Struthio camelus: one gene and its partners. The protein of the gene in region 1 purifies or fractionates together with the protein of each later gene. This does not show direct contact. Links are inferred from orthologs where the notes say so. Each region holds a gene or a part of one and is shown in the gene's direction. Other genes may lie near its edges. The genes, in order: PPP1CB, PPP1R12A, YLPM1 and CCDC85C.

What was found.
Region 2: the proteins of PPP1CB (region 1) and PPP1R12A purify together in Homo sapiens (affinity purification with mass spectrometry; 6 studies listed by BioGRID and IntAct, with this or other methods). This does not show direct contact. The link is inferred for Struthio camelus from reciprocal best matches to the Homo sapiens genes PPP1CB and PPP1R12A.
Region 3: the proteins of PPP1CB (region 1) and YLPM1 purify together in Homo sapiens (affinity purification with mass spectrometry; 3 studies listed by BioGRID and IntAct, with this or other methods). This does not show direct contact. The link is inferred for Struthio camelus from reciprocal best matches to the Homo sapiens genes PPP1CB and YLPM1.
Region 4: the proteins of PPP1CB (region 1) and CCDC85C purify together in Homo sapiens (affinity purification with mass spectrometry; 3 studies listed by BioGRID and IntAct, with this or other methods). This does not show direct contact. The link is inferred for Struthio camelus from reciprocal best matches to the Homo sapiens genes PPP1CB and CCDC85C.

The regions. Positions count from the first base shown.
Region 1 is NC_090944.1:108,069,883-108,077,867, forward strand, and holds the start of PPP1CB (serine/threonine-protein phosphatase PP1-beta catalytic subunit), read left to right. Parts: upstream 1-4,983; 5' UTR 4,984-5,283; coding exon 5,284-5,335; intron 5,336-7,985. UniProt on the Homo sapiens protein: Protein phosphatase that associates with over 200 regulatory proteins to form highly specific holoenzymes which dephosphorylate hundreds of biological targets.
Region 2 is NC_090942.1:45,370,558-45,377,459, reverse strand, and holds the start of PPP1R12A (protein phosphatase 1 regulatory subunit 12A), read left to right. Parts: upstream 1-3,893; 5' UTR 3,894-4,084; coding exon 4,085-4,321; intron 4,322-6,902. UniProt on the Homo sapiens protein: Key regulator of protein phosphatase 1C (PPP1C). Mediates binding to myosin. As part of the PPP1C complex, involved in dephosphorylation of PLK1. Capable of inhibiting HIF1AN-dependent suppression of HIF1A activity.
Region 3 is NC_090946.1:57,712,967-57,720,192, forward strand, and holds the start of YLPM1 (YLP motif-containing protein 1), read left to right. Parts: upstream 1-4,225; 5' UTR 4,226-4,281; coding exon 4,282-5,346; intron 5,347-7,226. UniProt on the Homo sapiens protein: Plays a role in the reduction of telomerase activity during differentiation of embryonic stem cells by binding to the core promoter of TERT and controlling its down-regulation.
Region 4 is NC_090946.1:69,741,425-69,748,510, reverse strand, and holds the start of CCDC85C (coiled-coil domain-containing protein 85C), read left to right. Parts: upstream 1-4,078; 5' UTR 4,079-4,240; exon of another isoform or gene 4,241-4,685; 5' UTR 4,686-4,707; coding exon 4,708-5,419; intron 5,420-7,086. UniProt on the Homo sapiens protein: May play a role in cell-cell adhesion and epithelium development through its interaction with proteins of the beta-catenin family. May play an important role in cortical development, especially in the maintenance of radial glia.

The DNA.
Region 1 (7,985 bases):
CGAGATTGTATCATATGCTAATAAAAATAATTAAAAAAAAATCTTCACACTTTTAAATAGTTCTGACGCTGACAGATGATGTAATCTGTGATATGTACCACGGTATACACCTTACCTTGTCCTGGTTTCTATGGGGTTCCTGGGAAACTCTCTACCATGTCTTCAAGGTGGTGCGTTTCTACAACCTGTTTGAGAAGTACTGGGACAGGGCAGGGGTAGCTGCTCTTTTCAGCATGAGACTTTCTTAAATGATATTCACTGGGTTGAATTTTCATTCTATTTTTTTCAACTTTTTCCTTGCTGATCCTTGACAGCAACAGTCTCTTTTCTTGTTTTAATTCAAGAGAAAATAATGTAACGTCTAGACCTACCCCGCCTTTGGAGTATGCTTTAAAGGCAAACAGGACATATGGCATTCACAGGAATCAAGGAGTAGTGCTAACTTACAAAAAATTCTTCTTCTCCAAAAAATATCATGACTGAAGCTATGATGATTATAGTAGACAAATTTGTATATCAACTGAAGATCTCGTAACGTTTTTCAAATAATTCAGTTATGGCTCTTGACTCCTTGAAGAGGTTCGCATGTGTTATTGAAGAGGTTCGCATGTGTTATTATTGGCATTTATAAATGTGGGAATTAAAGCTGAGAGCTCACTAAAGTTGCCGAGGTAATCATGAGCAAATGTATGACAAGAATCTGGAGCATCTGCATCTGAGTTTCCTATTAGCTGTTTGAAGTGGAAAGAGTAAGTGTAAAATGTAAGTAGAATATTTGCAGTGTATTACTTTAATAATAGCCTCTCTTTTGTTCTATTAATATTTAATTATTTATACAAACTGTAACAGCTACATCAAGAGAGATGGATCAGCACTATAGCTGAATGATTACGGCATGCATCTGATGCATAACAGATCCAAACTCAGGTCCTCGCTCCAACAGGTATTGAGCTATTTATACCAAGTGTGGCAGTTCAAAAAGGGATAACGGGAGACCTGCCTAGGATGCAACAGTTCAGAGAAGAGTTTCTCACATCCTAGGTAACTGCCTGCAAATTCAAACCACTGGTTATTTTGGGTTTGTTTTCCTTCCTCTCTAATTTCTCAGGAAACTTGATAAAATCTCTGTTTCAGCTCAGTCTGGAGCAGTAATATTTTTTTAAAAAGCTTTCTGAATATATAAAGAAACCTATTATCTACCCAGCTTTAGTGCAAATACTGAGCAAGAAAAAAGAGACACAGAATGCTAAAGAGCAGAATCTGATTGGTTTTCTGCACTTGTCTCTGAATCTAAACTTTTGGAAGAAAATAGTGATAATTCATCTGCAGTCTTTGCATATTCTGAGATTACCTTGATGCAGTTTCTTACCATTTCTGTCCAAAGAAACGTCCGTGAACATTGTGTACATAAATTGTCCTAAGGAAGTACACAGCTTTTTTGCTGATTCTGATTACTAAATCAAGTGGGAAACTGAGCTAGGTGCTCAAAATCCGCTTGCAGTGGCTTGGTTACTGGACAAACACAGAGACTGAGAAGGAAGCACTGCTCCAGCTACCACTGCCCAGTGAGAACATGCTCCTAATTACATGCCGGAAAACTAACCACAGGCCATATTGCTTCTCCCTGCTTCCTCCTCCCATCTGCGTAAAAGCTGTAGTCAGCCCTAAGATACACTCAGCAAAAGTGATACAACAGTTTAGAAGCAAGCCATAGTGCTTGAATAACGCTGTAAAGTGCTGCTGTGTGTTTTCTGTAAGATAATTCATGACAGAGCTAGGAGGGCAATGTAGCTGGGGCCATGATTTTTGAAAAACGCAGTTACAATGGCACAGCAAGTAACTTAAAAGAGCATGTAGTCGGTGCCATTAGTAATGGGACATACCGGCTGAAGCAATGTAAGGTTACTAGGAAAGAGCAGATAACATCAGAGATACTGAAACCGTGTTCTGTAGTTGAGGATGCAACAGCCTTGATAGCAGAGCAAGTGAGAACTCGTTCTGAGAGCCCCATTTTTGAGAATGACACTAACATACAATTTTTTACCACCTTTGGAAATCTCTGTCCTTCAAGTCTTGAAAATGCTACAGAACGCCACTGCAAATTAAAGCACACCTCAAGACAGCAGGTGGGTAAGGAGAGGAGAGTTGACACACAGGGTATTTAGGGTAAATGGCACTGAGACTGAGCGGGGGAAAGTTAGAAGCAAAGCCATGTTTGTGGACACAAGAGGAAATTTCAAAATAACTGAAAGGAAGTTTAGAAAGATGAGCATTATTTAGGAGAGTTTGCCAAAGGCATCAGCAACGTTCAAGCTTCTCCTGCTACTTAAATCACCACTTAGATATCTTTGGTCTGTATCTGTGTATGCTATTATGTCAAAAATTACTTAACATTTCTGCTTGATCAAAGAAAATGCATTCAGTCCACATTAAATATTTCTTTCTGAATCACAGGAGAAAACAGGCCTCATTCTCTGATCTTTTAATTCTATTTGTTGTAATGGAATTATGTCATTATAGAACGCAAGGTCTGTCGAGTTTTATTCGCTAAGAGACTCTCATACTCCTTTCCCTGCTCAAGCTCCGAAGCACGTTGGGGCAGACTACACAGAGTTACGCAGCACAGTGTGGTGGCCACCCTCCCTTTTCATGATCCAAATACAGCAGGGGAAGAACTCTGTGATCCAGCAAAGCTCCTATTCCATGAGTTACTGGAGAAGGAAAGAAGCCTTGGCGGGGTATGAGAGCTGAGATCCAGCAGTGGCAGGAACTGAACGGAGTCCTGAAGTTTCATTCCTCCAGTATCTTGAGTAGCGTGAGCAATCTCTCCTCATCCTATGACCCAGCATAATGCCACGCCTCATTCACTCCAGAATATGGAGAAAACTGAAAAGCAGTGAAATAGAGTAGAAAACCAAACTTAATGTATTTACCAGAGTCCCTCAAGAACGCAAGGGCATGATGTGATAGGGTAAAATTAACTAAGAGACTGGTACAGAATCCAGAAAGGAAAAAATAAGCTATTTTTTTCAACCCTTGTGCAGTGTGTTCTGTTCCACAGCATCTCTGCTTATTAAATTATTTTGATATTATGATATGCCACCGAGTTGTTTCTGGAACATGCTGACATGCTTAGTAAAAACAGTTATTATGGGATTATGTTTTGCTCAACATATCTCGAAGTTTAATATCTTCTGGAGTTTTTGGAGACAAAGAAATTGTATCTTTATGCCATAGTGAAAGATCATTGCATATTCTCATTCTGTTGTCAATGCAGAATGTTCTATGACTATATAATATTATTATACCTGAATTTGTGTTGGCTTAAAATAACTTTCAGGGCAGTTTTGGTTATGTGAAATGAAATTGGGACAATTCTTAAAAACTCAAGAGGGACTGCCTATCTATTAAATTTGGCAGCAATAAAATAGCTAATATCAAGAATACCCTTGTAAAGCTGAATAATTACTTTTCTTAGTTTGACAAAAAAATGAAGGAAAGATTTAAAGCATTATTTAGATTTTCACTACTGGGAAAAATTGAAAAATAAAAAAGAATATAGTTTCAGCAGATGAGCTGGAATTACATTTTCATAGATGCTACCTACAAATGGGGATGCAACATCTTTCTTTTTTTTTTTTCCAGAGGTTCTTCCTCTTCCTTCAATGTATCCAGCAAAACTTTATTATTGCCTATGTATTTCAAAAGAGCATTCTACTACCGGACTGTCTGGCCACCTAGCATCATCTGACGCCTAATCATTGTCTCGCCTTGTCCTAATTACTTACATTTTGCTCATATACATCTTGTCCTAATCATGAAGTAAAAACTAGGTTTTGAAATTATTTTAGCTGAGAGGATTTTGCTGGCTTGTATAGGTCAATGGAAAAATTCGAATTTGAGCTCAGATAGATGTTTCTATATCAACATCTATATTTAGGCAGATAAATAAGTGGCCTGATTTTTCTAGAACATCTGCAATGTCTTTGGCAAAAGGGATGGCTGGCTATATTTTGTCAGCATGCATACATTTCAATCTGCTGTTCCAGTTCACAAGCAGCTTTCATCAACTGTTTTTTAGATTCTGTCCATCTAGGCAAGCATCTATTGACAAGAGCATGCACTCTAACATGCTCTTGAGCACTCCTCTTAAAAAAAAAAAAAAAGGTTTCAGAAATCATTCAGAAATGCTCTTTCAGAAAAAAAAAAAAGTACTTTTAGCAGTTCCAGCCACAATGAAATATAAACCGTATTAGTTAGGAGATTCTTCCTGACAACTGTGTTAAAACGTGGCTACAAAGAGCACAACTTATCATTCCAGTTCTGATGGACTTCTTTAAAAATAAACTGTGAGCTTTCACAGGCGCAGTTTCAGCAGCAGAAGGGGTGATACACAGGTTACACGCAGCCCACTAGGACTCATTTTCTTGGCTTTTTTCTTTTCCTCCCTCCCTGTAATTGATGCCTGGAAACATAACCTCCGCATAAAGTAAAGCACATTCTCCTGCAGTAACATGTCACGGGGAGGTGGGGCATCACAAGGAGCACCAAATATCCCTACAGCCGTTAGAACATCTTCGGAGCGGATACCCAGTTGGGAGGCAGCCGGCGAGGCTGGCTAACCCCCACAGGGCGGCCTGCTGCCGGCACCCTGACAGGAAAGGCCACCCCGCCCTGCTCTTTGCACGGGACGGACGGCGGCCGACCGAGAGCCAGGGGGAGCAGGTCGGCGAGGCCTGCCTTGGGCTGCTGGGCAGCCCAGACAGCGGTGGAGGAGGACCGCGTCTGCCCGTGCGCACCCTCGGGCACTGCTTCACCGCAGCCGGCCGGCAACCGACCCTCAACGGCCACGGCGCGCGCCCGCCGGTTACTAGGAAACCCACGGGCAGGCGGGGAGAGGGGGGGGAGGGACTGTGACGCTACGCGCGTGCGCACTGGCCGACCCCCCCCCCGCGCGCCCGTTCTGCGCCTGCGCGGTGGCTGGCGCGCGGGGCGGCGGGAGGGGTGAGGAGGCGCATGCGCCCTGGCGGCCTCAGAGGCGGGGAGGAGGCGCGGGGAGGAGGGGTAGGCGCTTCCCCCCCCATTTAGCGCTGAGGGAGCGGGAGCGGCGCTTTCGGGTGCCAGCGCGGGAGAAGCCGGGCGGCCCCAGGGGACCGTCGGAGGAGGAGGAGGGGGGGGGGAAGCCACTTGTCTTCGCCGCCGCCCGCGCGCCCCGCTCCTCCTCTGTGAAGCGCCCTCCGCTCCTCCCTCTCCCCGCCTGGGACCGAGCCTGGTGGCCACAAAATGGCGGACGGGGAGCTGAACGTGGACAGCCTCATCACCCGCCTGCTGGAAGGTGAGCGGGGCGCCCGCCGGGCCTGCGCCCTCCGCGGGGCGCGGGTGGCGGCGCCACCAGGGGGAGCCGCTGCCGCCGCTTGCCCGCGGGGCGGGGGGAGCGGGCGGGGCGGCCCCGCGGCGGGGGCAGCGGCAGCGCCTCCCCCGCACCCGGCCCCGGGGGGCGGCGGAGAGCGGGCTCGGCGCGGCCGGGCCAGGCTCGGGGCCCTCGGAGGGGAGGGGAGGAAGAGGGTTTTAAGCATCCTCGGCGCGCTGGGGTGAGGGGGGAGCCCTCCCCGCTCTAGGTGAAGTGGCGGCTTTTCTTTTCTTTTCTTTCTTTCTTGTTTTCTTTTATTTTTATTTTTTAAAAAGCTTTGCAAGCGCTCTTCCCACGCGGCAGCCGCCCCGGTGAGGGGGGAGCTAGGGCAGCCTCGTTGGCGGCCTTTTCCTTTCCTTCCTCAGCGAGGATACTCCTAGTCCTCCGTGCGTAAAATTATATGCCTAAGCAAGATTAGGTGTGGAGTTGCGTGTGTGTGGGTGTCGGGGGAAGCAGAGGGATTGAGTGTTACTCTGCCTGCCTGCCTATGGGCCAGTCTCCAGAGGTTGCTCTCGGGTGCCTGGATAGCTCTGAGTCTAGTCTCTTACAAGACTAGTAGCTACGAGGGGTTTTGTGTGTGTGTTAAACAGTCATGCTTTCCTTTAAAATAAGGAGAAAACTAGCTGCCTTCCAGTTTATGGAGAAGCTGAGGAATTATTCCTAACGTTTTTCCTCTGTGTAAATGATGTCTCGAGTATCTGGTCTCAGACCTCTCCTCACGTTAGTCTTCCATTCCGTGTTCGACAAATACCTAGTATGGTGGAGACGATTATCCACTTATTTGGTTGCTGTGTTTGAATATTCGGATCACTTAGCAGAAGGCTTTCAGAAAGTAGTTTAAGAAGCATATGCAGTTCTGGGAGAGGAAAAAGTCTGAATGTTTTGTTTAACTGAGTTACTGCAGAGTTTTTGTGGCTTTTTGGTAATCGTATGTTTTTTATAAGTGAAACTGCTAATTGACTTAAACGATTAACAATCAGTATTTTAAAAATACATAAGGCTCTGGCCAGTTGTGCTCATGTTTGTACTTTAAGAAAGATATGCAGTGTAGTATAATGCAAAGAACACCTGCAGGTATCATCAGTTAGCAAAGTGTGTCTCTGTTCACTGATACTGATAAACCTCACTTTTCTGGACCCTGAAACCCAGCTTAGTAATGAAGGTAGTTTTTCAAGACAAACCACATAGTAACCTAGGAAATACTGCGTTCCTAATACTTTTTTTCCCAGGCTTTCAAAATGTGTACGTATATCTGTATGTCCTTATAAAAAGAAGGAGATTTGAAAAATCTTTGAAGGGTACTGTTCCCTCTCTTTTTCTCTTTGCTCATCTGTGTAGCTATTTAAATATAGACTGCTTGAAGAATAGGTAGTTCTCCAGTGTTTCGGGATGCAACTTGTATTGGGCTACTGTCTGTTATCTTAAATGCTACACTGCTTGCTTTATTTATTTTTAATGCAAGAGTTTGGAAATACTTATTCCTGGCTTTTCATACATGCTATAAATGCTTTATGTTGCTGTATCTCTAACATTTTTGAGCTATGACAGAGTACCTAATCTGCACTTTTTATTCTGTACTACTTTAATCTTTCAGAAGTTGCACATACATAGCTTTAAGCAAGCTTTCTTTATAATTCTGTGTCTCTGTTTCTCAGTCTGTTTCTCTCTCTCTGAGCAGAGATTAGGAAGATTTTTAAGGAAAGCAGGACATGTGTCTTCTCTGCTTGTCACCTACTAATAGGAGTGCCTCTTACAACATCTCATCGCCTCAGAAAGGGAATAGATTCTTCTAGGTTGTATTTGAGAAACTATTAAAAGAATACATACACTATATATGAATTTGCTTTGCTTGCATTTGACATCTTTTATTTCCTGTGCTGCTGGTGTATTATAGCTTAAGCTGTGGTCCAAATGTTAGTCTTCACAGGGAAGTTTTTTGTACAATTGGATGGCTAGCATTCTGGAGTTCATGGTGTTGCTTAGCTGGCTTATTGTGGTAAAGTGAGTATAAGCTCCTGTCAGTGTATGCACCCCTCCCCCTCCTCCCCCCCCCCCCCAACAACCTGGAAAAATTTCTATCAACCCTTGCTCTGGAGCAATTAATTTAAAATAAGTTTTTGACTGCTTTCCCCCTCACTTCAGCTTTGGCTTAAATAGTGAGGAATTGCAGCTTTTGAGCTGTATACAGGTGCACGTTAATATATTCAAAATACATTTTCATGAAATGTTGGGATGCAATATATTTAGTCCTTCTTTTAATGTTAAATGGATGACTTTAAACAACAGTCTACAATTGTCTCTCAGTTGCTGCTGCTTGTAAACTTCAAAGGGTAGCAAACGCATATCAAAAGCCGCAGTGACAGGAAGCTTCCTTAATGCCCTTGAGTTGCTGGTTGGGGACACCTGTTTCTAGGCTGTGATACTAGCTGTCATGAGTCCTTGCTCTTACTTAATTAGGTTACTCTAACTGTTTTTTACCCTTATTGCTCAAGACCACTTGCATTTCAGGTTATATGACGCATTAACTTGCCTTTTGATCAGAATTACATACTTGGATCATCTTACCGTCCATGGG
Region 2 (6,902 bases), on another chromosome or scaffold:
CCCCATGATTGTGATACTTTTATTAAAAAATGGAAAACCAGAAAGCATACTGATAACAATACCATTGTTTATTCATTTTATTGATCATTTGCAGCATGGCACTAAATTAAATGAAAATATATACAAGCATAGATGCTATCTCTGCAAATGTTTACCTGGTTATCTTTACAGAAAGGTGGTCCTACTGGATTCATGTGCTACTATTTGTAGGCAGAAAATTACATATGCAATCATGTTTAATGCTATACATATACATACAAACAAAGGATTTTACAAAACATCTAGTACGTTGGATAGTCTGCTAGAGGTATAAAGCCTGGTAAAACTAGGCCTACTTCGTGTGCCCTTAAGTAGGACTCGGTTAACGTGCCGAAAAATTGCAAGTGACTCTTGTTAGCATACTCTTATTATTGCAAGTACACGTGCATATTTATGCAGTTATCCAACTGAATTTTATGATATTGTCTTGTAATCAAACCAAACAGTAATCACTGTCTTATGACAAATTTTTTACTCACTTTCAATATGATCTTCAAAGTGAGCCTTTAATATACAGGGTTTAGTCCTGCCCTCTGCACAGATGAATTTCACCACCACCCCCACCCCCACGCTTAGGCAGATAATTGGAAAAGAACATCGGGTTTCTATAGCAAATATTATTGGTAACTGTATATGTTTATCTCAATCAGTACTGAACCAGAAGCTGCAGAGGGCCTTATTTCCTCTCAGCTACTCTATTTTTACCGTGAAATCTAATGACATAAAACTGATGTGATAGAGTACAGAACATAGGCCAGTATGCCTTTGCTCCTGAAGTTAGAAACCTTTATGTCAGATAGGAGATAGCAAAAATAAGGAAATTAAAAACAAGTGTTAAGAATTATTATTATTACCCTTATTATTAATTTTTTCTTGCTGTAAAGTGTGGCTTAATTTTGTTGAATAAAGAGAACGTGAAAAACTCCAGAGATGAGCCAATTTACATGAAAGACATCTCTACTTTTTTGCTTAAGGAAGACCATATGCTTTCCTAGATCACATTCAAAGACTGTAAGTAGTTTACTAGAGAGCATACAGCAGTCAGGGAAAGGCATACATGTATATGTACACACACATGTACACACACACACACAGAGACACATATATATATATATTTATATTTATATATATATGGAATAATTGAATTCCAACTGGCTTAATTAAATTGCTGCCTAAATGAATGGTGTTGCTTGTGGGGTTGGTAGAAAGCCCCAGAGGTAACCCAACTCCCAAATGAGGTCCAACCGGAAAAAACGAAAAAGTCAAAGAAAAATAAAGTCTAGAATGTAGAACATACAAATAGCAGTAGCGTAAGGAAAGAGGATTTCCATATCCTTTCTGAAAAGATGGAGATTAATCAGTGGAAAATATTCTGAAGATAGGAATAGAAAGGAGGTATTAGACCTGGTCTTTAAAAACAGACCATCTGATACTTCAGAACAGAAAGGGATATGCATTTTATGCTAGAGAACATCTACGTTTCCCTATGAAGCCAAGGAGAGCCAGCTGAAAGGAGTTAAAGGAGAATCCATGACCAGAAAGAAAAAACTGAGCTAGAAGAATGAAGTCAAGGAGAGAGGACTGGAGCCTTGACAGAAACCTAAAAGATACTCCGCAACAGTGAAATTCCTGAGCGAGAGCGTTCTCAATGAGTGCCTATCAACTGGCTTCGAATTACTTGGCTACCAGTAAAGTACTTCATTTAAATATTTCTTTCTGAAATCACTGTATTACATTCTTCAGCTATTTTATTTCTTTGAAGAGTTAAATTTTCAGACAGACTATTGGGAGATGGAAAGACAGGAGGAGAGTGCTGGGGAGGGTATACTTAAAATAACTGAGACATCTGGCAGAAGAGGACTTAGCTCTTATCCTGCATTATGTTTTTCTGAGCTACAGTTTTCTGTTCCTTAGGAAATGGCACTGGATTGAGCGGCTGTGCCCAGGAAGTTTGCCCAAGAGGCCAAGACCACAGAAAGTGGCCCAAGTAGGCACAGATCCTCTCCTCAGAAGCGTACTGTCAGTAGACGCAGGCAAATAGCAGGCTGGTGACTGCCCAAATTGGGCCAATGCTACCAGAGCGGTGCTGAAGCACAACTCGATTCCTCGTGTTAGTAATAAACCCTGCGAATCCAGGGGCCTACACTGTATCTCTGAACATGCACGCATGTTGTCAAAGGGAATGTGTAAATAATGTGCTGAGTAATGGTTCATCTATCTATTTAGACTTCAGATCTTTCTTAAGCAAATCTTTCATCATGTCTACATGTTGTCTTTCAAATGTTCACAAGCACTTTGCGCCTGCAAATTTTCAGCGAATCGGATCTCACACATTGCTGTATGAGAAAATCTCACGGATATTATGCAAGAACCTCTGCATGAAATTCTTTTCCGAAAGGCATTAATCACACCAAATTGCTAGAGGTACATAAAGTAGCCTCACTACTACCACTTCTTGTGAAACACCACTGATATTCTAATAAATGAAAATAAGAAGCCAGAGTAGGCTATGAGACTGTCTACAGTAGGAAGAAAAAAGGAGACCTTGTAATTAAGAAACAACAAACCATGCAAAACTTGAAGTGTATGAGGTTTGGTGAACCTCTTAAACTATATTTTGCTTCCTATAATTAGTTGAAATTAAAACTTTTTTTCCAGTAAGTTTAAAACCACGTTTTATCCCCACAGATGATTCAATTTAAGACAAAATGTATATTTTTTTTAACCTAAAGAAAACATGCTATGCATGGAAAAAAATTAACTACCCATAACTTGGTTCCTGCAAGTTATAATTCTGAATAAATACTTCTGAGGCTTCTATCTTCAAAAGCTATATGCATTGTAACCACTTATTTTCCCCCAGCAGGAAGGATAGATATGCTGTCCCAAGGTTTTCAGAAAATGGAAGTGAAGCAGAAATTTGGTTTAGCTTAAACCAACGCTGCAACGGAGTTCTCATAAGCAGAAACCTCAGGGCAAAATTTGAGACTGGGCTTTCGTCTGTCAAGGTGCATCCTAACGGGGACAACTTTTAACATCCCAAATGGGGGCTCCTCAGCCCCTTGTCCTGTTTTTTTTCCTTCTTTCCTCACCGTGACTCCATTTCTTCTGCTTGCTAACACAGGCAGTAATGTGAGTATTGTTGCGTGTCACGGAGAGGGAAGAGTTTGCAAGGAAAGGTAGTATCTTTAATTAAACTGACACGGGCCAAAACACACACGCTTTCAGCCACAGGAACACGCAGAAGCTGCACGCTCGAGCCTTTTCGTTTCTTGGCCTTTATTTAAGGCTTGCATCAGATAATCTAATAAAATACATTATTGCCTGTCCTTATAAACTTTGCCCGGACGAAACATGACCTCGGTTACCATTCAGCGATGGCGCTTTTATTTGAATGCTCCTCATCGCTTGCATTTTTTCTGACCCGGTAATCAACAGACACCCAACAGGGGCGTCGCGGCAGGCGAGCGGGGCCGGGGCTGCGGCCGCCCCCGGCGCCAGCCCCGGGAAGGGGCGGCCGTTGGCGCGGCGGGGGGGGGGGGGCGAAGAGGGGGGAAGCTGTGTGCCACCGGGGGGCTCTGTCCGTCCCGCCCCGTCTCCCCGCCAGCCCCGGGGATTTCCTGCCCTCTCCGGCGGGGGCAAGGGAAGCCAGTGAGCCCCGAGGCTGAACTCTTGAACCCGCGGCCGCCATGAGGCGCAGCGGGGCAGCCCCGCCTCAGCCGCAACACAGACCGCTGCATCCCCCCCCCCCCAACCTCCCCCGGCCCGTGACGCCACACGCCCCGCCCCCGCGCCACTCTGTCCCCCCCAGCCCCGCCCCTCCAGCTCCTCGTCCTTCCCCGCCCTGAGGAAATCTCGCGGGATTATGCTAACGAGCCCGCCGCCGCCGCGCCTCCCCTCCCGCCCTGCGCCCTCCGCCTGGGTGAGCGAGCGAGCGAGCGAGCGAGCGAGGGTGAGCGCGGGCCGCGGTGCTCTGTGGGATACTGGCGGTATATAGTCTATCCTCGGTGCGGCGTTCGCGAAGGGGGCCAGGCGGGAGCGGGGTATGAAGATGGCGGACGCCAAGCAGAAGCGGAACGAGCAGTTGAAGCGCTGGATCGGCTCCGAGACCGACCTGGAACCGCCTGTGGTCAAGCGCAAAAAGACCAAGGTGAAGTTCGACGACGGCGCCGTCTTCCTGGCCGCCTGCTCCAGCGGGGACACCGAGGAGGTGCTGCGGCTGCTGGAGCGCGGCGCCGACATCAACTACGCCAATGTGGACGGGCTCACGGCGCTCCACCAGGTCGGTGCGGGGCCGCGGCCGTTGCCCGGCGGTGGGGGTGGGCGAGGTGGGAGGGGGCCCGGCCGCGCTGGCCGCAGCGTGAGGCGGGCGAGGCGAGGCCGCCCCGCGCTGCGCCCCTCCGGGAAGAGGAAGGGGGCGGCGGCGGCGGCTGCTCTCGGCTGCGCTGGGGGGTGGCGAGGCGGGGAGGGGCCGGAGCGCGGGGCGGGGGGCAGCGGGGTCCGGGGCGGCTGCGGCCGGCGGGAGGGGCCGTGCTGTGCCGTATCGTGCCGCGGGCCCGCTGCCCCCCAGCGCCGGCCGCGGGTCGGGAGAGGGGCCGAGCGGCCGAGGCCGGGCGTCGGAAGGGGGCGGTTGGGCCTCTCCCTTGGCGGGGAGGAGGCGCCGCCGCCGCCGACCCTCTTTCGCTTTCCCCGCTTCCCCCGTTGGCAGCGCCTCCCTCGGGAGGGGCGATGGGGGCGCGGGCCCGGCCCCCGTGGTGTCGCCGAGTGGGGGGGGACAGGTGGCCCGCGGCGGGGTGGGTGGTGTCCGGCAGGTGAGGGGGGCGGGCTCGCGGCGGGGGTCGCTTCGCCGCGCTGCCTCTGCCCCGGGGTTTCGGGAGCAGTTTCCTGCTTCCTCCGTTCCTGCGATTCCGCTGCCGTGTAGCTGATGGAACCCGCTCTTCTGTGCGCGAAAAGGCGGATCGCTTATTTCCCCCTGGTTTCTAAGGGGAACCAGTGTTTTGTTCCTAATATAGAAACGCGTATCAATAACAGGCTGGTTTTCTTTCTTTAGTGATGGCTTCTGCCGCAGTGTGAAAGCTGAACTTTCAGGGAAGCAGGGCTTTTACAGTTTTCTTTCGTGTACTGGAGAGGTGTAAAAACGAATCTATATTGCTTTGTTCCTCTGTGTGTGTTGGTGGGTTTTTTGTTTTGTTTTAGTGTGGTTTTTTTTTTGAGGGAGTACCGAGGGATAACTTTCGTTTGGGGCAGGGGGGAATGGAAAGGAAACTGGCTGTGAAGTTTCCTCAAAATGGATGCTTTGTGCATGTTGAACTTCATAGCAGTCTGATTGGAATCTCAAAACGTTAGCCAAATAAGGAAAGGCTGTGGCAATCCGGAGATAATGCGGGTTTGCCTGAACAGTTTTTGTTTCTTTAGCAGGCCAAAAGCTTCCCCAGAATATTAAATTTACTGGATATCAAAAAAAGCAAAAATAATTTTTGACAGGCCAACTTTTTGTTCTTAGGTTTAGAAGCTGTTCAGTAGTTTAGAAAAAAAACCTTGATGTCTGCAAGTTCTACATTGATCAGCTAGTAATGTTACCAACATGGTTAAGTGAAGTAATTAGGATGTTCTCACCATACTGTGGTTTTCTTGAACAAAAATGAGGTGCTGAATTTAATGTATTATATCTGTCTCATGTAGATTTTCAAGGATACAAAGTTCTACAGATATGTAAGTTGTTCCATAGTAGTGAAGATGCACTAGATAAAGCAAAAAGTAGTAAATCTTGCATCTTGTGTTCAGAATTGGGTTCTATTTCCTGTATATAAACTGTCACTTGCTGCCCTGTAAAAGATACTAGTTTACTGCTTGTTGTAAGTTGAACTGGAAGAATGAATGTATGTTGTGATTAAAAGTCTGTCAGAATGTTACTTGTTACAGCAAAGCTACCTAACTCAGACTAGTCTGTCACTTCATAGCAAGATTTTATATCTTTATACTTCTCTAAGCAATGATTGCTTCATGCTTCTAGGGAGCTCTGTATTAGAAGTCATACCTTAACTGGTTAGATCTCTGGATCTACAAGTTACTGAACTCTGTGATTGGTAGGAAAGGGTGACGTTAGGTTTAACTGTATTGTCAGAATAAAAGACTGATGATGATGTCTATAGTCATCAGTACTAGGTGGCACTTTCAAAACGTCTTTGGTGCGGTATACAACAAAGCTTTCAAGATAGTTGTGAAGTGACTCTATCTCTCCCCCCCCCCCTTTTTTTTTTTTTAAACCTGTGGTCAGTTTGCAGATTGGATGAGCAAAGTCCAAGGAACAGAGGAGATCTACATCACTGCAGAAACTCTAACTCTCTCTCGCTCTCTGATGCTGAAGAGACTTTTATGATCTTATGTAAAAAGAAAAAAAATCTATTGTGAAATGATAATTATTTTGAGGCAGCCCAATAAATGAGTGAATGTTGCCCGCTGCTCAAAAAAAACACAAAAGAATCCCCTGCCCGTAATCAGCACTGTATAGTTCTGCTTTACTATTATCAATGTATATTATATGGCATATTAGAATAGAATAATAGGTGCAAGTATTACATAATGAATTCATGTTATAGGCTGCATCTAATTAAGTTTGACTAGAGCATGGAACAAAGCTATAGTCTTTCGCCGACGAAACCTCTTCAAAAACACATCACTCTTGCTGATACTGTTTTGACTGACTAGTGTCAATAGTGTCAAAACCCCCGTTGTTGAGTTTGACTGTCACAGTTGCCTGTACAGTGCTGCTTGTGTGTGCCTCCTCCTTTTTTTTTCCCCCTTTGTCTGTCAAATCCCTTGTAGGTGTTATTGTTTTGCAGGAATATATTTGTCAGCAAGAA
Region 3 (7,226 bases), on another chromosome or scaffold:
CAGACTGTGAAAGGTATTAATGTGGGCTGGGAGCAGAATACTTAGGGGGGAATCAGAGCAATGGCTGAGAATAAAACTGTCTCGCAGAAACCCTGAGCATTTGCAGTAACATGGGAAGAAAGTCGTCAGAGGAGCGACAGAAAAGGAATGATGAAACTGCATGGAGAAACGTAGAAAAAATGTTTCAAAGCTATGTCATATCTGTTCTCCCCAAGGCATGTTCTGCGTTCTCATATCTTCTCTGTAGCTCGTTAATTTGTAGGCCGTCTGCCGATCTCTGCCTCTCTGGGGGGAGGACAATTGTTTTAAGACTGGGAGGCAAGAGAGAAAATGAGGGTCATGGGGCCAAGATGCCATAGAGTGCTTCCTGGCCAAAGTGCAGGAGTTGAGCTGTGATAAATGGGGGACTGAGAATTGATATTCTTGGTATAGTTAAGAAAATTTCCAAACTTTAATAGAGCTTTTATCCTGTGATGCGTTACACTGGTCCAAACTGTAGAGAATAGCTGGACTCAAACCTCTGCATGCCAGGCAGCATACAGTGAAGATAATGCCTCTCCTCCATTAATCATTTCCTGTCTTTGGGCAATGCTCCAACATGCCAATAATTGCAAACACCCTGCTTCTACAGATGTTACAGGAAATTTTGAGAACGCATCAGACTTGCCCCTCACACTATGTCGTTGTTTCCTGCAGGCTCACCTCTGCAGTAAACTCATCCCTGAAATACAGCATACTGACACTTTCAAAATGCATGAGCCCCTTTCAAGCTATCACAGTTGGAAGTTTTATCTTTGAGATTTGACTATTGGTGTGTAATTGCACACTTCAAAAAAAAAAAACCCAAATTTTCTCCTGTCTATCCAAGTCACATTTCTTTAAGCTAAATTTAAGTATTATCATGAACACTTAAAGACTATGCATGGTCAAACAAGGACTCAGATCTAGGATTAGATCTGTGTAGCTGAATTTTCAGAATAATTCTAAATTTAAGAGACTTCTTCAGGGCAGAGCTAACTAGAGTTACCTCTGTGCAAGCTTCATTTGAGTTAACCTAACTTGAAGGAGACTTGAGAAGAAAGAAATGGCTTCCCGTGGTAATATTTGATGGAAGTCTTTCTGGCTCTGGAAAAGAGGATACGGGCAAAGCAAAGTGATGACTTTTGGGAATGTTTGACTACTGGTAGACATTCACACAAAAAAACATCCTTATTGGATGGACTTCACCCAAATATACGTATGGAGCATGAACTGCATATAGGAATCAAGGCAAATATGCTTATTTACAAGAAGCTTTAATTTAAGGCGTAAAGGACGTACCCAAGTCTGTCCTGCTTGTTTTAGTAACAGAAGGAGGAGGCTAGAATAGGCATAAGGCAATTGATAAGAAATATAACCTGGTTGGAGGATAAGCAGCAGGGAGAAAGTGTTAACAGTGATTGAAACCACCAGGAAGGCCATGTATTTAATGAAAAGTTTACTCCTAAAATGAGTAAAATCAGCCAGACAACACTGAGAAGTGTGGGTATTAACAAAAAGAACCGGGAAGGACCACCCGGGTCGTCAGGGCCGTGCCCTGCAGTCTTAGGGAACCCATGTACCAAACGCTTGGTTCAGAGGAAAGTATTTACTCTGTGCACACCACAGCATTCCAACCTCAGATTACAATATTTCAAGGAGGAAAGATCATGATCTGAATAATGGCAAGGAGTTTGGTAAATGAGAATGTCCGGATGTTCCTACAACTGCAGAGCTCTGTTAGTCCCAATCAGAAGAGAAATTCCTTCCTGACCCAAGTCTGGCAGTTGGTTTAAACCTGCGGACAAAAATAGCCAAAGCAAGCCCGATACTCAAAGTAAGTTAGGCAGTGGAAGGGACAAAAGCATTTCTATTCCTTGGGGGGGGGAAGGGACCCAGAAATACAAAATTGCTGCACCATAATTATAGTGTATTAAATGTTATCAGCAAATGAAGAAATTCAATGAAGAAATGAAGTGCTAATCCCAGCTATGACACTAGATAATCCAGGGATAGCTGAATTGTAGCGGAACAGCAATTAGAAGCAGGAAGCGTCCAAGAGTATGAGCTATTTTAAAAAATGAACTAAAAATAGCAGGTTGACATACATTAATGATGTCATAGACTGTAAAAGAACAAGAAGGCATAACGTGGATAAAACAGGATGGCTTCGGGGCAAGGTAATGTTGAGTAAAGGAATAAATGTATCTTGGTCCGGGAGGAGTCAACACCCCTATCTCCATCAACAGATTTGGGTATTGATGTTAACCTCTGTCAAGTTACTGGAACCTAAACCTAATTTTGGTCTCCTAGAGAGAGTTTGGACAACACTTGCAAAATGATTGAGTACAAATATTTCTTCATAAGAGAAGTAACAGATTTCTTCACTGTACTGATCAACCACAGCAAAGAGCAAGAATATTGCGAGAGACCTGACTTTAGGAAATAATCTTGAATGAAATGATCACAAAAAAACTCATTCTGAGTCAGTCAATCAGCATAAATCAAAGGATGTTTGTAACGGTCCTCTTTTGGAAAAAGGACTTTCAAAAGCTTAACCAGTGAGCAAACTGGCCCAAAGGGCTTGGGGACGTAAATGTCAAGGGTAGGATTTTGGGAGGGATCTGGAAGTGCAAACGCTATCTGGAATTCATATTCACTGTAAGAGAAATCTTACTGGGAAGCGCTCTAGACAGAAAAGGATACTAAATAATTTAAAAAATAGTTCTGGGTGTATTGAATTAATGAAGGTGGTTTTCCTAAAGACTTGTGTTTTATAAATTGCGTGTCGGCTCTTCTTGAAGCTTTTCTTATGGGTTCATGTTTGTATCGCGTGTCACCGCTTTGGATTCCCTGGGATTTAACAAGAAATGAATACAAAGTCTAGCTTTTCTGCCGGAGAGGACAGAGCTTTTTTCTGTACCTGGCCATCTATCGTTGCCTTTGCCTCCAACACCTGTCTCTTCCCACTGGCCACAGATCCTTGATTTTCCAGCAGTGAACTGGAGATTGAACATCAGAACCGTTGCACAAATTCTCTTCATTTTGGGAAGGATGGCAAGCGGCAAGACAGCGCAATGCAGCTGCAATTCTGACCAAAACAACAGCCACTAAGCTTCACTGTCCAGCTGACAGAATTCAAATTTAATAAGCCCTGGCAAAATTTTCTCTACAACACAAGTTCAGCACTTCACACAACTCTTTGCTAACTGGCTACAGAGCATACCGATGTGTTTGACTCATACTTAAGCGTGGGGAGGGAGAAACACAGGAAAAATCTCTCCTGCTCCTCAGTCTAATTGCTTCTGTAAGGGATGAGGCAATTTTACACATCCTTTTCACCATCACTCGCTCCATTTTTGCCACCCAGATTTATCACCTTGCTCTTCACTGAAAATGAAGTGAAAATACTTGTGTCGTTTTAGGTGCTGGATTATCTATAGCCGCACCAATCCCCCCGCGGGTGGCCCAGGACCATCATTTACAAGGCTGAAGGACCCTTCTGAGGGTTTGAGTCGCTTTCCGAGGGCCTCACCCAGCTCGGTTTTTAGCAGTCGCCATCGCCCCCCTCCATCCGCTAAAGCAATTAGCACTGGCATCGCAGGGCGGTTCATAATCACGGTTTTCCCCGTAACGGGGTGGAGCCAGGGCGGCGGGCGGCAGCCGCCGACGGAGCGGGGCGGGCACGGAAACATGGCCCTCGCCGGGCTGACCGAGTCCCCGGGCCGCGGGGCCAAGCGGCGGCGGCGGCGGCCCCCAGCGCCGGTCGCCCCTCGGCGGCCGCAGCGGGGCCGCGCCAGCCCCGAGCACCGGCGCGAGCCGGGCTGGCGGTAGGACCCAACGGGCGCCCGCCTGCTCCTACCCGGCTCGAACAAAATGGAGCCCCAAAGCCTCCCTTGGAGCGACGCTCTAGCGCCTCTCTGTTTGTGGTTGTTGTCTTCCTCTCTTTTGTCTAAGCCGATTGGGGTGAGGGGGGAAGTGCTTAAGCGGCGCTCTAGACTCGCCTCCTCCCCCCTCTATGTGCCCTACTGCCGTGCTCGCGCCCGCCCGCAGTAGCGGCGGCTGCCCGTTAGGGGGCGCCGCGCAGGCTCCGAGTCTCCCGAGCAGCGCCGGCTGGCGCTCTAGCACCGCGCGCACGCCTCTACTGCCCTGGAGGGCGGGCACGCCTCCCCGCGCAGGCGCCGTGGCCCGCACGCGCCGCCGCCGCCGCGGCCTGTGGAAGCGCCGCGCACCGCTCCGCTCCGGCCGGCCGCTGCCCCCGCCATGTACCCGGCCTGGGGCTTGTACGGGGCGGCGGGGCACTACCCGCCGCCGCCCACCTCCATCCCGCCTCCGCCGCTGCCCATCCCGCCTCCCAGCGTGCCGCCTCCCGCCGTCCCGCCGATGCCGCTGCCCAGCTACCCGCCGCCGGGCCCCGCGCCCCCCGCCGCCGGGACCGCCGCCGCCACCGGGCCGCCGCCGGCCGGCACCTCGGGCTTCCTCAGCCTGCAGGAGCAGCACCTGGCGCAGCTCCAGCAGCTCCAGCAGATGCACCAGAAGCAGCTGCAGTCCGTGCTGCTGGGGCCGCCGCCGCCGCCGGGGCCGCCGCCACCGGGGCTGCCGCCGCCGCCGCTGCCCGGCTCCTTCGCCGAGTGGCAGCAGCAGCAGCCGCCGCCGCCCGTGCCGCCGCCGGTGCGCAGCTACCAGAAGCAGTTCGCCCACCGCGAGCCGCCGCCGCCGGCCCGCAAGCCGCCCGCCGCCCGGGAGCGCGACGGCCAGGAGGCGCCGCCGGGCCACGGCGAGTGGGGCGAGCCCGTGCCCTCGTCGCCGGTGCCCATGGACATGGAGCTGTCGTCGCCGCCGCAGTCGCCGCAGCCCGCCGCCCCGGCCTACCTGCCCCCCGCGCAGGCCTACCTGCCGCCGCCGCAGGCCGAGCCCTCCTACCTGCCGCCCTCCCAGCCGCCGCCGGCCCAGTCGCCGCCGCCGCTGCAGCAGCCCTACGTGCCGCGGGCGCAGGCCTCCCAGCCGCCCCCCAACTTCTCCGAGCCGCCCCCCTCCTACCTGGAGCCGCCGCCGGCCACCGCCGCCCAGCCCTACCTGCCGCCGGCCGCCGCCTACGCCGCGGCCCCGCAGCCCTACCTGCTGCCCTCGCAGGGCTCGCCCTCCCAGCCGCCGCCCGCCCTGCCGCAGCCGAAGCCGCCTCAGCCCCACTTCGCTGCGCCGCAGGGCTCCCTGCCCCTGCCGGCTGCCGGCCCGCAGGAGACGGCGCCGAGCGCCGCCAAGGAGGCGGGGGCCGGCGCCGAGCCGCACGGCGCCCCGCAGCCGGACCCTGCCACCATGACCGCGCAGGTGAGAGGCGGGCGGCGGCGGCGGTGTCCGCCCGGGGCCGGGGCCGGGGCCGGGGCCGGGGGCGGCGCAGCGCGGGGCGGCGGCCGCGGGCTGCGAGCGAGGCCGGAACGCGCGCGTCCCGTTCGCCTGATAGTTGCATGGTTCGGCCGGAGCGCTCAGAAGTCCGGGAACGGCACGGGTCAGGCCAGGCTCCCTAAATGCCTTTTCGGCCTGTGGTGTCTTGAGGGGTGTAACGGATGGTCAGGTCTCAGGCGCGAGTGACTTAGGCGGAGAACCAGTCTAAGTCCTGGTTGCGTTTCATTTTCTTGCTGACTTTGATAGTCGCTGGAGAATTGTTTTCCCCAAGCCTTGCACGTAGGTGGACTGCACTGAAGTCTTGCTGCATCTTTCTAAGGATGCAACAGTTGCATCTTTTGCATCTTTTTTAAAGATGCAGCAGTTCATTCACCTATTGCATGCTGCAGCATCAGCGCCTCTTGTTTACAGTGACTCCTTCACTTACTTTTTCTCTTGTGATCGTATTTCAGTTGATTATCGACCTAGTGACTGGTATAGTATTGCAAACGCCGATTTTACCAGACACAGATAAAACTGCAGAAGTGTTTCTACTGTAGTGTCTGGCTGCTTTTTACTTAAACTTTTTGGGAGTACGTTTTGAGCTACCTGTGTTTGAGTGTTATCTTCTTGTGTAAACTTTTAAGGGGCTTTGAGGGAAATAGTCTGAAATGCTTTTGAGGTGAAAACTACGTTTTTTATTGTTAATGCTGTGTACTTTTGTGGGTACACTAGGGCCAAAAGGTCTGCAAATATTCACATGCTTAACTTCCTAAATGTGAGTAGTTCTGCTGAACTTGATGTTACCGTTCATATTCATTAAGTTAGGGATAATCCAGTTGCTTTAGATAAAGCCTGCACAGAAGCATGCATGTTGAGGTCCTAAGCTGTACACACAGCTGATTTGGATGCCTTGAGGCTTTTGCATGATTTTGAAGTTGGCTTGTAGAGATCCGGTTGCAAGAACAAAGGTGAAGTGCATGTTTTGAAAAGTTAACAGACTTTGTAAGTTTAAAATACACATATTTTTGGCATCTTGATCCTAGGATTCCGATTTGAATCTAAGTTTGTAAAAACCCCATAGCATCATTTTGAAATCACAGACATTTTAAAGTGCTTAGTCTCTGGAACACCTTTTAAATTATATCCATACTATTGTGCAAATACATATGCAAATATTATCTTTTTTTTGAGTTTACACCTTTGAGCTGTTTTTGAGGGTACCATTTGATCTTTTACAGCGAGCGCAATGGAACTCATTCGGTTTTTTTGATGACAAAACTAAAAGCTTGAGAAATCTGAAGTAGAAAGTGATGTTAATTCAGTGTTGAGGCTGCTTGCTGAATTCTTAAATTGTTAAACTCAAGAATAAACAGTAAACTGTGATTCTACTCCTTTACAGATATTCATCATGAACTAGCCTGAAATTTCATGAATGTTTAGAACTTTTTTCATAGTATATATTTGTTCCTCAGCCATTCTCTTCTCCCCAGAATAATCGCAATTAATGCAATATTGTCCTGCGCGCACAGAGGAAACAGAATAGTAGCTGAAAAGCATCTCCTAAGTTTACATTTTCTGGTTTATGAATGTCTATGCATACAACTTAAGTTGTTTGTTGACTCTCATGCCGATTTAGTGTTAGTTCAAAAGGCCTGTGGTACTTTGGCGATCTATTTCTTGTGAAAGATTGATAGGATTTTGTCCGTCTTTGGCTGTAATATGAAACATGGCTTTGAGCAGCTGATCCTTAACACAACAGGAAGAGCAAAACCAAAGCTTAGTGATGCATTCTTACCAATGTTTTTAAAAGCTAAGCAGGGAAA
Region 4 (7,086 bases), on another chromosome or scaffold:
TCTGGATCAGCAATTTTCAGCCTGGACAAACAGGCAATTTCTTTGCAAATATACTGATAGAGAAGCACAAAGTAGTGGATGAAAGGAGTGACAATCTACTGTCATGCCCCTGTCACAGGACTGTGTCCTATGGCTGAGCCAACACAGCATGGCCAGCACATCACATCAGCAGGCCAGGAGTTACTTTTTGAGCAGGGACATGGACTAAGTGGTGAGGAATTGGGAACAGAAGATCCTCTCCTCTCAGGCTCCAGGATGTGCAGGGCAACACAGGGTGACCTAGCAACTACAGCACTTGGGCTCACTCCTTCCTATGCTGCCTTGGAAAAGCAAAGTCATGTGACACTCCCACTAAAGTTTCTCCTTCTCCTCAAGAACGAGTGGGTTTTGCAAGAGCCACCCCTCTCAGGTGGCTAAGCAACAACGCAGATCCAAATGGTGGAAGCGCTTTCTGTAATTCTAACGCAGCCCTGTAGAGGGAATGCTTTGGTAAGACTTAAATGATGTTATATATCACTATACAATATCAAGGATCAAATGCATTCTGTGTCACCTGCTGAGTTCAGGCGTTATCATCAAGAGGAATTTTGTCCAGTATTTTTTTTTCCTAAAATTCTTATCATGCTTTAAACTTTCACTCCTGATTAAAGAGGGTGAAAGTGTCCATTTGATTCAATGATTGACGCTGTATTACATGGGAATAAAAAGATTAAGATAACATGCATATTAAAAGTGCTTTGCACTCACTGCCTGCAGAAGTGGCCATGACCAAATGTAACAGATCAAATCTGTAGCATGTTATGAACTTCTGTTACTCTTCATCTTAAACTGGCACAGGAGAATCATAATTCCTTCCAAACAACACTGAGAAATAGGGCTTGTTAACGGTAAATAAAAAAGCAGAAGCCCATCAAAAATACTCCAATATTGTGTATTATTTGTGTTGATTAAATATCTGCTTGAAATACATAATTTGTTTTTGAGCGTAACATTGCACTATACACATATATAATCCAGGCCACAGACACTTTCTGATCCTACCAAGCTTTACACATCTGCGCTAACACTGCTGCCTCACACTTCGAAGCTAAAGAGGTTTTTCTCTACTGCAATGCAATAGCCACCTCGGAGGGAAGGTCACAGAGTGAATAGGTGAGGCATGATGGCCACCTGATTCGTGCCTCATTCACTCAGACCTGTTAACCCTGGCCCTCTCTGTTCGTTCCTGACAGATGACTGTTTCACCGCATATTTGTCAGGATCAGATGTCATCGGGGCAGACAGCAGATCTTTTCGTGCAGTTTCAATGCCACCTCCAGAGCACATCCGAGCCTGAATGCCCAAACGCAGCAGGTCCAAAGCTCACGGGGCACAACAGTGACCGCAAATCCCTCGTGGATAGTGGCAGGCTGGATCTGTGCCCTTTAACTTTAAGAGCATAGACATACCCATTCAGTCTGGAAAGCAAGTCTTAATCATCACAGTGACTTCCTCTGTGGATATTAATAATCTCATCACTTCCTTTTTGGAGCCCCCCTATCTGCTGGGTTCCTTCCTTGCAGAGGTATCAATGGTGCTCAAACTTCATAAAGTTTCAGCTAGAAAAAACACCTCTTCTTGGGAAAAAAGATCGAGCAAACACAAGGCAGACACTGCCTGGGCCAAGCACCTCTAAGGTGTAGCTACACAGCTACACCTGAATTGGTGGTGCGGTGGCCAGAGGGTTCTCCGCCCCTGCTGCCTACTCGGCTCCTCCTTCCCCGCTAGGCACCGGCTGGGGATCTGCTAGTCAAATCACCGCATGGGAGGGTCTGGGAGAAGCACTTTCTGCTTCCTGTAGGGAAGGATGTGATTAAAGCCTTGTAAATAAAAGACTTGGCTTAGAAAACACTTGAATGCCTTCTAGACATGATGCAACCCTGAGCTGCAGCAGTGCACCGCACTGCAAAGGGTGTTATCTTCCAACAGCCTGGCTCAGCGGGGCATGAAGCAGGAGACTTGGCACGGTCTAATTTTGTACCGATTCGATTGTGGCCACTTGGTGACCATGGCCACTTTATGCAAAAATCAAGTATATTTATATCCGAGACCTGTTAGAGGGAAGTAGAAGCAGACCTCCATTTCAGGCAAGGCCTCACCACTCTTCTGTACAATGGCATGACTACCCCCTCCTTTCTAGGGAATTACCTTGATTTGTGTACGTGCTAGGGAGAATTGTCTTCCTCCCATTTTAACAATATCTGTAATGTATGTTACCAGAGAGCACCTGCATATCCCACCTGACGTGAACTGGTGGCTGCTCTCTATCCCAAGCTCCTGTTACCCTTACGATCTGGGATAAAAGCCACTTTGGGAGAGGAGGGGGGCCAACAATGTCCATGGAGAGGGTAAACTCCACCAGAAATGGAGAAGTCCTGCTGTTTTACTTTAGTGGGGAACTGGCAGTTGTCTTATATTGCCACGGATATTTCTCAGTTCAGAAACCAATGACTACAGATTCGCACAGAAAAGCATGCAGGAAACTGCAGCTTTACTGACTTAGATTTAGGAAGATAACACCACCAGGCAAAGGTTGCAATTCCCCACCCTTCTCGGGACTGATGTCCCTTCTATGCCTAGGCCATGTGTTCTGCATCCCATGCTCTGGCATCATATGTGATGTTTGTTTTTTGCTAGAGGGTGTCTTGAGTAGCTTTAAGTGTGGTCAGAAATCTGAGATTGCACTGAGTTAACCTTAGAGTCAAATCATTTATTGAGGTTCCTTGGGAACAGAAAGATGGCGATTCCCTAGGGCTTTGTAAGGATCCTCAGTAGGAAATAGCTGGCAGCACGTCTCTGTCCTGGTGCATGTTTCATTTTTACAATGTGGTATCGGTCAAAAGCAGCCTAGAGAGAGAGAGAGTGAAGTCCAAGCAAATGTGCATTAGACTAAAAGTCAGGGGATGTGATGCAAGGATATAGGAAATCTGCCCACATATTGCCTGGGAAATCTCCTTTAACGCAGTGAACTTTCTGGGCCCTTTCCCGGGCTCTGTGCACAGAAGCCACCCTGCCATGCCTGCTCCTGAGCAGACCCCTCGGTAAAGACCATGAAAAGCTGGGCAGGTTTGAGTGAGGAATAAGAAGCACGGGTGCCTCAGAGGCTGTTTGCTCCTGCATCCCCGCACGGTGTCGGAAGGAACACAGCTCTCCCGGGAGCAGAGCGGGCAGCCTGGGGCGGTTCTGCCAGCCTGCAGGCTGCGGCCGAGGCAGGAGGGGACGCGGGCACAAAGGCGGCTCCGGGGGGGACGGGGAGCGGAGCGCGGCGTGCCGCGCCGCAGCCCGGGGCGCAGCGGGGCCGGGGCAGCGGCGCGGCTGGAGGAACAAAGCCCGGCGCGGCGGGGCGGCGGCCGTGCCCGCACCCCCGGGCAACGCCGCCCGCTCCCGGCCCGGCCCCGCCGCCTGCCCCGGACGCTCCGGGGCTGCTCGTTACACAGCGCGGCCGGGTCGGACCGAACCGGGCCGGGCCGGGCCGGGCGGCGAGCTCCTTTTCCTGCCATTCAACCCCACCCTTCTCCCGACTGGTGCTCCCTCCGCGCACACGGCTGGGGGCGGCGGCGGGGGGGTGGGAGGAAGCAGGGCAAGGAAAAAAAGGTGGATGAAAAGAAAACAAAAAACGGTGTGGAAGAAGGGGGGGGCTCAGCGGCGGAGAGCAGCGCGGCGGCGGGAGGCGGGCGCGGCCCTTCCCTTTGTACCTGCCGTTTGAAGGCGCCTGGCGGCCCCGCATTGGCTGCGGCGGCCGCGGCCCCGGCAACCCGAGCCGGCGGCGGCGAGCGGCGCACCGGGGTCCGGCCAGCGCCCGGCCCGGCCCGCCCCCGGCAGCCAATGGGGCAGCGGGGGAGGGCCGGGGCCGCGAGCCGAGCCGAGCCGAGCCGAGCCGAGCCGAGCCGAGCCGCCGGCAGCAGCGCCCGCCGCGCCCGCTCGCCTGCTCGCCGCTCGGGCAGGGCCGCGCCGCGCCGCGCCGCGCCTCCCGGCCCGCCAGGAGGTGGGACCAGCCCGGCCCTGCCGCCCGTCTCCTCCTTCCCGAGGGCTGAGCCATTCCGGGAGGGCTCCGGCTCCTCGCACCGCTCCTCGGCAGCGCCGCACGCCGCGGGCGCGGACAGCCGCCGCCGCTGCACCGGGCTCGGCCCCACGTCTCCGTGCGGGCCGGGCCGTGCCGTGCCGTGCCGGGCGAGGTGGGCTCCGCCGGAGCGGATTGATGGTGCGGTTTCTCTGCGCGCATTTGCCGGGGAGCGGCGGGCTGGGGGGGGCGGCGGAACAAGTGGCAGGAGCGAATTGGGGGCGGGGGCCGGCCGCCGCGTAGTTGTTTTGCCCGGGGTAAGTTGACCGATTGCTGTTGGAGGCTTCATTCCGTGGGCTGCAGCGCTTCCCTCCTGATTCACTGCCACCCCGAGCCCCGTTTGGGGGAGGGCGTGTGCGTGGTTTTTTGTTCGTTCTTGGTCCCCCCCTCCACCTCCGGATTGCTTTTTTATTATGGGGTCTGCGGGAGAGCAGATCACCCAGAGTGGCGTTGCTGTTTTCCCTTGCCCAGCGCTCTGTGGAGAACTATAGTATTTCTTCCCCAAGATGCTGCGGTAAATTTTAGTCCCAGGAGATCAGGCGAACAAAATAATCCAAATAACCCGGACCATTTGTTACTGTTTAAGAACAAACGCTCTCTAGGCACAGATGATGGCAAAAAATTCCCTGGAAGGGTCTAAAGAAGACCTGAGCAAAATTTCAGAAGAGGAAATGCTGAGGTGGAGCAAGGAAGAGCTAGTGAAAAGACTGAGGAAAGTGGAGAATGAAAAGATGAACTTAATGGTGGAACACGGCAACTTAATGAAGGATGTGAACCGGCGGCTGCAGCTCCACCTGCACGAGATCCGCGGGCTGAAGGAGGTGAACCAGAAGTTGCAGGACGATAACCAGGAGCTGAGGGAGCTCTGCTGCTTCCTGGACGACGACAGGCAGAAAGGCAAGAAGCTGTCGAGGGAATGGCAGCGGTTCGGGAGGCACACGGCCAGCGTGATGTGGAAGGAGGTGGGCATGTACCAGCAGAAGCTGAAGGACCTGGAGGCAAGGCAGGAGACCCTGCTGAGGGAGAACGTGGAGCTGAAGGAGATGGTGCTCATGCTGGACGAGGAGCGGAGTGGGGCTGGTTCGCGGAGCTCCATTGACAGCCAGGCCAGCCTCACCAACCTCAATGGTGGGTCGGGCACCAGGGACGTGGGGGACGGGAGCAGCACCTCCAGCACAGGCAGTGCAGGAAGCCCCGACCACCATCATCACCACCTCCACCACCACAAGCCTGGCGACAGCAAGGCTGGGGCCATGCGAAGGTCTATGGATGACCTGTCTGCGCCCCTTCACCACCGGAGCATACCCAACGGCCTCAACGGTGAGCGTTTCCCCAACCTCCCCCCTCCTCACTCCCCTTGCAGCAGGTGCAACCAACTTTGCCCTCTGCCGTGTGCTGATCTCTCCATCCCCCCTTGTCAGTGGGATGAGAGATGCCTGGGGGGCTGTGTCCAAGCCGTTCCCATCCCCTGCAGTCCTTGGTGACCGCAAGGGCTTTGGAAGAGCAGTCAAGGCAGCTGGGGGGACTGGGTAGGTGCACCCATGTGCGGGGCGGTGGCGGTGCTCACCTGGTGCAGAGGCAAGCGACTCTGCAGTGCCTGCACTGAGGGCAGTCTCCTTGGCTACATTACTGATCTCTGGGGTTGAGGGATGAAGGCTTTTTTATCTGGAGGGTTTCTGGGGGGGTTTTTTTGCCTTTTTTTTTTTTTAATGGCAGGCTGAGCCTGTATTTTCAGAGTTACATAGACATTGATTTCTTCCTCTCCTTCTCCTCTCCCCGTTAAAGATTTTGTTTTATATTTGGCTTGTTTACCAGCTAGTTTCATGAGACTGATTAAAGCCTGTATGAGATTTTGGAAGCAATTGATTAAAGTCTGGGTCTGCCACATAAAGCATCACCTGTTAGCTCCCTGGGCTCTCAGGACAGGCTGGCTGTTGCATGCTGAACAATTTTGGCTAGGTGAAACTTGGCTTCCCCGCACTCCCCATCAGAAATAGGAGCTTTGTTCGTAGCAAAGAGATTGCTCTCGAAGGGACATTCATAATTTTGTTCAGCCTAGTCGTTAAAGTTAGAAACAAGCTCCATTGTGAAATCATGCCAAGCCTTCTCTGGCACTGTATAGTCCAGCAAAGTTTCTCCTAGTGTCATAATACTGATCAGGCATTAAAATAATAATATTGGATTATCCCAGAATGTCTTTAAAATGGAGATTTTTTTTCTTTTAAAAAGGTGAAGAGGGGAAATCTGGAAACCAACAAGATTTCAAATTTGACATTTAAAAGGAGTAGTTTGGAAGAGCGGGTTAGCAGGAATCAAACCAAGTACCAGTCTAAATCCTTAGATATGACTCCTGGAATTTCAGCCTTCTTAAGCCCTTTTTCCAACCAGAGGGAAGTAGTCTTTAGTCAGGGATACACATCTCCCTCCTCCAAGCACAGAAACTGCCCCCTCAGTCCTGTCAGCCAGCCAGCAGGGATGGAGAGCCCGGGAGATTGACTCTGACTGATTTTCGGCTCTGGCTTGCACCGCAGGAGAGGCCACTGAATGTCTAAAGGGAGAGAAGATGAGAGGGCAGGCGGGGCGCTGGGGAGGAGAGCAGCTGGATGTGACTGCCAAGTAGTGCTTTCTTCAGTTCCCAGAGCTTTCAGTAGTCTTGGCGGGACCAAGGAGTGCTGGTCCTAGTCTTGGTGATTTATGGCAAGTCCTCAGTGCCCCAGGAGATCTGAGGCCACGCAGCACTGATCAGCCCGGTGGTGTGTTCATGGATGAATTTGCCATGCTTGGTTTGGCTGCCGCAGCTGTATTTCCCCGCTCATGGCTGGAGACATTGCAGCCACCTAATCCAGTGGACAGCGTTGCTGGTTTAAACAGTGATCCCCAGTCAGCAGAGGTTGCAGGATACAGCAGGCATCGTTAAAAATGTGTTTCCTTCTCTCCCTCTGCTAGTGTTTTATTAATTGGAAATAACCTGTTTGTTAATTTGCAGA